Linked DNA regions of Nothobranchius furzeri. The protein of the gene in region 1 interacts with the protein of each later gene in a pairwise test. Links are inferred from orthologs where the notes say so. Each region holds a gene or a part of one and is shown on either strand. Other genes may lie near its edges. The genes, in order: atp6v1d and bbln.

The links.
Region 2: the proteins of atp6v1d (region 1) and bbln interact in binary tests that used the Homo sapiens proteins (3 or more experiments, as listed by UniProt). The two-hybrid records come from large-scale screens. The link is inferred for Nothobranchius furzeri from reciprocal best matches to the Homo sapiens genes ATP6V1D and BBLN.

Annotation. Positions count from the first base shown.
Region 1 is NC_091742.1:8,441,379-8,445,783, reverse strand, and holds the start of atp6v1d (V-type proton ATPase subunit D), read right to left. Parts: upstream 2,867-4,405; 5' UTR 2,670-2,866; coding exon 2,629-2,669; intron 2,110-2,628; coding exon 1,992-2,109; intron 1,836-1,991; coding exon 1,756-1,835; intron 1,678-1,755; coding exon 1,610-1,677; intron 1,524-1,609; coding exon 1,479-1,523; intron 1,380-1,478; coding exon 1,276-1,379; intron 1,171-1,275; coding exon 1,104-1,170; intron 1,035-1,103; coding exon 956-1,034; intron 441-955; coding exon 296-440; 3' UTR 1-295. Other genes in the region: eif2s1b (eukaryotic translation initiation factor 2 subunit 1b), read left to right, coding at 4,308-4,405. UniProt on the Homo sapiens protein: Subunit of the V1 complex of vacuolar(H+)-ATPase (V-ATPase), a multisubunit enzyme composed of a peripheral complex (V1) that hydrolyzes ATP and a membrane integral complex (V0) that translocates protons.
Region 2 is NC_091746.1:54,789,960-54,793,242, reverse strand, and holds bbln (bublin coiled-coil protein), read right to left. Parts: upstream 1,667-3,283; 5' UTR 1,392-1,666; coding exon 1,313-1,391; intron 1,200-1,312; coding exon 925-1,199; 3' UTR 635-924; downstream 1-634. UniProt on the Homo sapiens protein: Essential for intermediate filament organization in intestinal cells, interacts with intermediate filament and regulates intestinal lumen morphology.

The DNA.
Region 1 (4,405 bases):
CACAGACTTCAGCTTTACAGCATGCGATGCTCCAAACGACGTCTACAGGTGAGCCGTTCACACAGAGGGCTTCTTTCATTTTACTCACAAACAACACGTTTATTATTCATAATTACTTTTTTTTTTCTTAAGACTTGTCTGTACAGCGACACGAGAAGACGTTCAGACTTTTCCAGCACAGAAACACAATCACAGATCTGGAGGGGAAAAATAACTTTATAGGGAGGTGTGAACGTGGCCGGAGGCACGGAATAAATAAGACGTTGAGTGTTGAACCACGGGGGGAGGGAGGGGTTCACTCAAACAGCAGGTCCTCGTCCGTCTCCTCCGTCAGCATGTTAGCCGGCTCAGCGATGGGACCGAGTGCAGCCAGCCGGGCGGCGATCTCCCGTTCTGTCCTTTCCCTGAGCTGCTTCTTTTTCTCCTGGATTTTCTTCAGCCTGGCACAGCGGAAAATAACAGGTACTGTAAATGTGAAGCTTCAGAATGGCCAAACTAAAGAGTAAGTCACCCCCCTACCAGAGCCTTACTCCACCCACACTTCTGGTTTCAAAAATGCACCAAAAGGAGGCGTTGCCTGATGGGGTGAGAGGGCGGGACTGCAGCCTGAACTGACTGGTTTTTTGGAGGAGGTGAGCAGCCCTGAGGCATCGGCTTGTGAGTTGCCAAGGCAACCGGTGCAGAGCCTGCTGGCGGCATAGCTTACCCAGAAATTCGGCTGGTATTAGACCCCACAGTGGTACCCTTTAACCAATAGCGATGGCTAACTAATTCAAATGGAATGCAGACTATTAACCTGAAGAGGGCGCTACACCAACAGTTTTAGGTTGAATATTTAAATAAGATGCACCAAAAACCAAAAATAATGATTACACATGACTCTTACAGTAGTTGACTTCCTAACCCATCAGATCCTTTTACTAATGGTTAAGGAATCCGATGCAGCTGCTCTCACCTGTAGAACTCCTCACGCTCCCTCTCATCCAGCTCTGTGATGATGTAGGTGAGAGTGCGATCAATCCTGGGAATAATCACTGCAACGGAGAGTAAAGATGGTTAAAAACACAAGCATCTGTAGATCTTTGAACAACTCGTTTGTTTACCGTGCTCAATGGCATTCACGCGGCGGTTAGTGATCTTAATGGCTTCGTCCAAGGTGACAAATGATGTCTGTTAAAAAAATATTAATTTTTATTCAAAATTAAATATATATATATATATATAGATATTTTGCAAATATGGCAGAAAAATACGCCTTAAAAGCCATAACAGCACCTGTAAGGAGGCCAACTCCACAAGCAGCTCAACAGCTCTAGCATAATTCCTCTTCAGCCGGGAGAGCTGTTCACCTCCTCGGGCTAGACCGGTGAGTTCATAACCTGACACACACACACACACAAACATGCTGAGCTTTCTGAGGTTCACAGACACTAATCCAAATATGATGCATGTCTGAAAAGTACAATTACACTACTTACTGTCTCCACCTTCTTGGTAGTGTTCAAACACTGGAAGGGTGACACCTGAAAAGACAAATTCAGCATGAATAGTTGTTTCCCATCAATTACAGTGATGATGATGATGATGATGATGGGAAGATTTTTCTGACCCGCCACATTATCCTTCTTGGCTCGAACCTTGACCTGGGCTTTGTTCACATTCTGGATTACAGTTGTGCTGAAAGAAGATGAAAAGTTGCTGCGCACGTCTAACAGACTCGATAAAACACGGCTGTAACATTGTCATTACTCTTACCTAAAGTCACCAGCTGCAAATTTGGCTTCAGCCAATGAGAAAGCTGCTTCTCTCATCACCTCTCCCATCTTAGTTTTAGTCTAAAAGAACAGAGAATAAAAGAAAATTCCATTATTAGGTGTTTTTCTATTATGTGAGAAATAATGCAAGATTTAAATAGTTGCTCTAGTTATTTTAGTGTCAAATTGGCTGGAGTGAAGAAAGAGAAGCAGCAATCATTAAATGTTCTGACTGACTTCAATAATTTTACGAAGGATCTGACGGAAGCGCATCGAGAGAGCGTCAGATTTCTTCTTGAGCAAACTGCGGCCAGTTTGAGCCCCTTTCAGTCGAGCCTTCATGATGGTCTGGGCCCTGCAAACACACAGATGACATTTATTTATAGATTCAGACCTGATGTGACTACACAACCACCTATTGTACATTTTTTAAAGTATTTGTCTAATTATTTTTCTCTGCATGGTTGGCCATCCTGAAAGACAGATACCCACTTTTCTTTTTTTACACATGAATATCTGAGTGAGTTTTTCCACATAAACAAACAGGTGACGTGCAGTCAGTTTGGCTTTAAAATTAGAACTAGACCTTCCTTGTGGCTTTCATGAAGCAGGTACAGACTCTGTTCACACTCAGATGTTAGAAACATCACATGACACAAAAATAGCGCTTCCTCTTTTAAACAGCAGACTCAAACTATGAATAAAATGTATCCGCAGTGCAGACGCGGTCCAATTAAGGTAAATAAATGCAGAAAATTAATTATCACGGCATCTGGAAAGCTAGAAAAATAATGTGACATTTAATGGGGGGGGGGGGGGGGCTAATTTGTTAGCCAAGAGAAAAGACGATACGATAAGAAAAGACGATACTTACATTCTAGACGGGAATATGTCGATCCTGTCCTTTCCAGACATGTTTTCGTCTTTATGTTGACCGATCTACTTCTACGCTTTAAACTTAAATATTTAACTTTACTTGTAACTATAACGAATCGTTTGAGGTTAATATAATATCTCAAAAAAGCTATAATTCGAGCAGGATTAGGTGAACGTAGCTAGCTAATGGTCGTGATCTTGTCCGTCCGTAATGATCAGCTGACCCCAAGTCATGTGACACAGCCGTGAATTTACACATGCGCAGAGAGGTACTCTCTATTAATTCTTTCCGGGGCAAAAAAAAATTGCACACCCATGAATGTGAGCTAACGGGTCTGAGAATTTCATCTAAAAGCAGCCGAAAGAAAACATAGAGAAGCATTTAAACACGCCCATCATAAAATTCCAACTTTATCATTCTGTAACTCCATGACACAGGTGAGTTTTCGCTGACAGAGAAGATATTTGAAGCGACGAAGAGACTGCTAGCTAAACGTGTAGCATTGGCAGCCGCATGTGATTTGGAAACCTTAGCCAGGAAGCTAACACCTTAAAATGTCTTTTTCTGCTTGTAATGAAACCGTATGTTATCTCTTAGCGTTTTATTCATTATCTATGTGCTATAATGTGCCTTACTACTAGTACTAATGTGCTGTAATATTTTATTGTCTGTTTTTAATTCCATATGTTCAAGCCAGTTTTTTGCTCTTAAAAAAAGTTGTGGACGTTGCATCATCCCATTCATTCCTAGACTAAAATTTTGAGGGGGGAAAAGCCTAAAACTACGAATCTTTTGAAGAACTGTTCTGAATTTTATTTATTTCAAACGGGTCAAATATTAATGCTGAAATGTGAATACTTGAAATGCTTGTTCTATGCAATAATCCCAACATTTTGCTTTCTGCACAGGGTTTTCTGCTAATGAGGGTGCTGATTGTATCAAGAGCCGTGCATTATTTATTCTTGATGACTTGTGCAAATATCAGTATTACATATTAAGTCTTTTTCTGTTTCTCTGAAGCCGCAGATTGTTAAGTTCAGATAAGGTGCTGTTGGCTGTTAACACCTTATTCTTCCTAATAACCCCCTCAAAGGGTTATTAACAAGTCTCCTGTAGAAGTGAATTGTGCTTATTAATATTGGAATGTTTTACTGGTGACATAATATTTCACACACTGTCAACAGATTAATACCAATAGAATAAAATCATCAAACATTCTCCATTAAACAAAGAACAACATAGAAAGGTCCATTGCAATTGAGGGAAATAATTTTGTTACAGATTAGTGGTGATAAAAAGTCAAATGTTCTTTGAAAGCTGAATCTCCAGTTTGGATTAAAGTGAATAAACCAGTAGCATCAATATGTGTTGGCGTTTAAATGAAAGTAAACTTGATCTCTTCAAACTGCTGCAAGTAAAATGTTGATCTTTGATGAAAGGTTTTTGGAGTAGATTTAGTTTTGTGGCTGCTCTGCCCATCCATGAACTCAAAAAACTTTATTAAAGTCAAATTTACAACAGCACTACAAAATATTACATATTTACATATTTTTCTGCTTTCACTCTTGAGAGGCTAGCGTTTTATGTATTATCAGAGTGACATCCAAATAGTTTGTTTAATGCTTATTTTTCAAACTAAATATGTACCCCCTTATTCTGTTCACATCTTCACAGCAATGCCGGGGCTTAGTTGTCGGTTCTATCAGCATCGCTTCCCTGAGGTGGAGGATGTGGTGATGGTGAACGTGAGGTCCATCGCTGAGATGGGAGCCTA
Region 2 (3,283 bases), on another chromosome or scaffold:
TTCAACCTGAGTGGATCAGGAGTGGGATAAACACGGGCAGAGAATTTCAAAAAGCAAAACTGTTTCTTATTGTATTTTTATTCAGCTACTGAAAAAATAGAGATGAACAACCAGGTGATGTTTTCTAACTGCTGGAAGTTTATTGTATTTTTGGATGTTTCTTTTTCTGTTTGGGAGTAATCTTAATTTATATTAAAATGTCTGAAATCCCATAATGATCCATGACTCATTGGAATGTCGTTTTTCCTCTCCGTGGTTTTACACTTGAAACATACTGTTCAAGTCAAAGACTGATCATTTTTCATTATTTTAAATGTTAGATTAAATTCAACCTAAACTTAAGATTTACCCTTTGTAACCACTGCTAGGAATTAGTTTTGGATAAAGGTCTGAAGTGTGATTTAACCTACTTTAAAGTAGATACAATTGATGTTAAGCGCATGCCATCGCCCTCAGTTTATCTGTGATCAACATGCAAAAATGACGAGGTTGGTTAATTTTGTGAAACAGGCCTTGGTTATTGCTCTAAATGAAATGCATGGCTCTTTGATTTTAGAGTAATAATAAATGTTTGGAGCATTTATAGGGAAATGTTAACAGAAATGAGGTAAGGTATCTTCACTGAAAACCCCAGTGATGCTGCAGTTTTAACTGCGATAAATATTTTAATTCTCTTCACATTTTTACACAAACACATTTTACTCAGAATGTTCCAAGTCTGGGTCAATAAACTCATAACTGCATAGAACAGAAACACCAGCGTGTCAAAGTTCACCGGTGGAAAGCTGGACTGAGTGTCTGCCAAATGGAATGTAGCTTCACGGAAATAATCAGGACAGACAGGAAACCCAAGCTGATCAAGGGCGACTAATCGATCTCATCTCAGAATCTGCCTGAATCAGTACTGATAACAAAACACCACGTTTAACGACTATTGTCACTAGTTTGTGAATCTGCGCATTCATTTAAATCATCTTTGGTGGGTGAGGAAGACTCTTCCTCTGTGGTCTGACGCTCCCTCTGGGTGCACCCTTCCTCTTGAGTCGATTGAGCATCCAGCTGAGCCCTGAAATCCAAACGGGCTTGCCGATTTGACTCTAGAAGTTCGTGAAGTTTGCCATTCAGTGCGTCATTACGCTCCTCCAGGTCATCCAGATACGAATTGATCTGATCCAGCATCGTATTGATGGCGGAGTACTCTGCGGGTGAAAAGCAGGATAGACGCTTTGGTGATTTACGTAGAAAGCTTCCGCCAGACTCAATAATTCAAATAACATTCAGAAACATGACTCAGTATGCATAAAAAGTTTACCCTCTTCGCCAAATTCATCGTCGTCGTTGATAATACCATCATCAGTGGAGATTGTTGGATCCCCGTTTGGTCCTGACATGATTCAAACTGAAGTAAGCTGCCACTTAAACTCACGCAAAGCTAGCAGCTAGCTAACTCGCACCGGTGCTATTTGTCCTCCGTGACCTCGAATCTCCTCGGTTTAAATGAACAAAATTATAAGAGTTCGCTTTCTAATGTCCTTTCTAAAGGTTGTGCTCAGAGTTCATGTCCAACGCTCTCAGAGGACATTTCAAACAAGGTTAGAGATCTGTCAGCGGCCAATGATAAATGTTTACGGAACAAATTGATTCTGGGAGAAACCTGAGCAGAGATTCGGGAGTAAAACAAGATGTCTCACTCTGGTAATTATTCACAGATGAAATAGGTAAAATATTCATACATTAGCGACAGATAATTTGCAAAACTACTGTCTTCAAGCCGCTACCATTTTATGTTTCCAATGTCGATGGTTCCCATTCATTTTAAACAAGCCATGTCATCACTTTTGATTAAAGGTACAGAACTTTTTTCAGAGTGAACCCTCTTACCTTCTTACTCAGACTCAGAGCGAGAGTCAGCTGACCGAAGCACCTGACTTCCTCTGTCTGGATTTATTTCCCTACCCATTATTTATTTACTCTTCGTTACAAATTACATTTTCCAGCTGTGTTAGGTGTATCCTACAGTGGTTAAGAAATAACCTTAACATACTGGAAATTTCTCTTTCAAGTATTTTAGTGGGGGGAAACAGCTGCATTGGTGGTTGCTGAAAACAAATCTTGAGTGGCAATGTGAGAAAATATTTTCCTTCACAGTTTATTAAAGGTATTGAAATGAACAGTTGGCAAATGACTACAGTTCCAAAACAGTACTTTATTCCTCTTCTCCAAAATATTGGAATATGGAGAAAAAAAGAGGAGAAGAGAGTAGAGAATAGTGACCTTTCAGACTACATGTGATGCAGATTTCACAATAGAAGAAGTAAAAAAAAAATGCGACACGTGTTTTATTAGGGCCGCACAATATATCGGCATCAGTATCAGCCAATGTTAGTCATATTTTAAAATATGGTATTGTTCTGATAAATAAAACTGGGCCGATATTAACAACCAATATTTTTTCCATCTTGTTTCTATTTGTTTATCTGTTTCAGAGGGTGAATGGGGGTATTTGTTTAGTTACGTGACAGTGATTGTAATCATCTCAGATGTGTAAATCTCCAGCTACGTTGAAGGACGCAATTTACTGATGCACGATGCTGTGTTTGCTAAATGAAAATAAAAAAAAAATTATTTTTTCTTTTCATTTATGTACAAACAAACACAACAATCGAACAGCATATAAACGCCCTTGATCGATCCAGCCAGACTGGGACGTAATTTTTTTTGGGGGGGGGGGGGGGGGGACATGTCTCCCCCACTTTTTCAAAAGGCAGTTTTGGTCCCCTGCACTTTTTTACGTCCAAAAACAATGTTACGCTCCATTAAATGGATTTGGTTGAGCACTAGGACCGAAACGGAAACCGGTTTACTATTAGACCCGCCCAAAAGCTATCTATTGGCTCTGCTGATACTTGCTAACGTATTATTGGCTGTTGCTGCTGTCACTCAAGTTGTAAACAGTCAGAACGTGCTCACGTTGTTTTGCTAGTTTGGAGCCGCTAGGGAACACCGGTACTGAGTCACATCGTCAACTAGACGCTGTGTAATATCAGAGCTCAGCTCAGCTTCCATTACATAACATTTGAATAAGTGTTCATTTGTGAGTCTTTGGTAGTTAGGCACAGCCAGGAGGCAGCATGTCAAGAAAACGAAAAGTGGATATAAGAGACTTCTTTCAAAGTCAAAACGTAAGTTTGACATGTGACACCGCTGCATTAAGCTCAGACTCACCTCCTCCTTCACACACATACTCAAAACTAACTTTTACAAACTCATCTCCTCCACATAA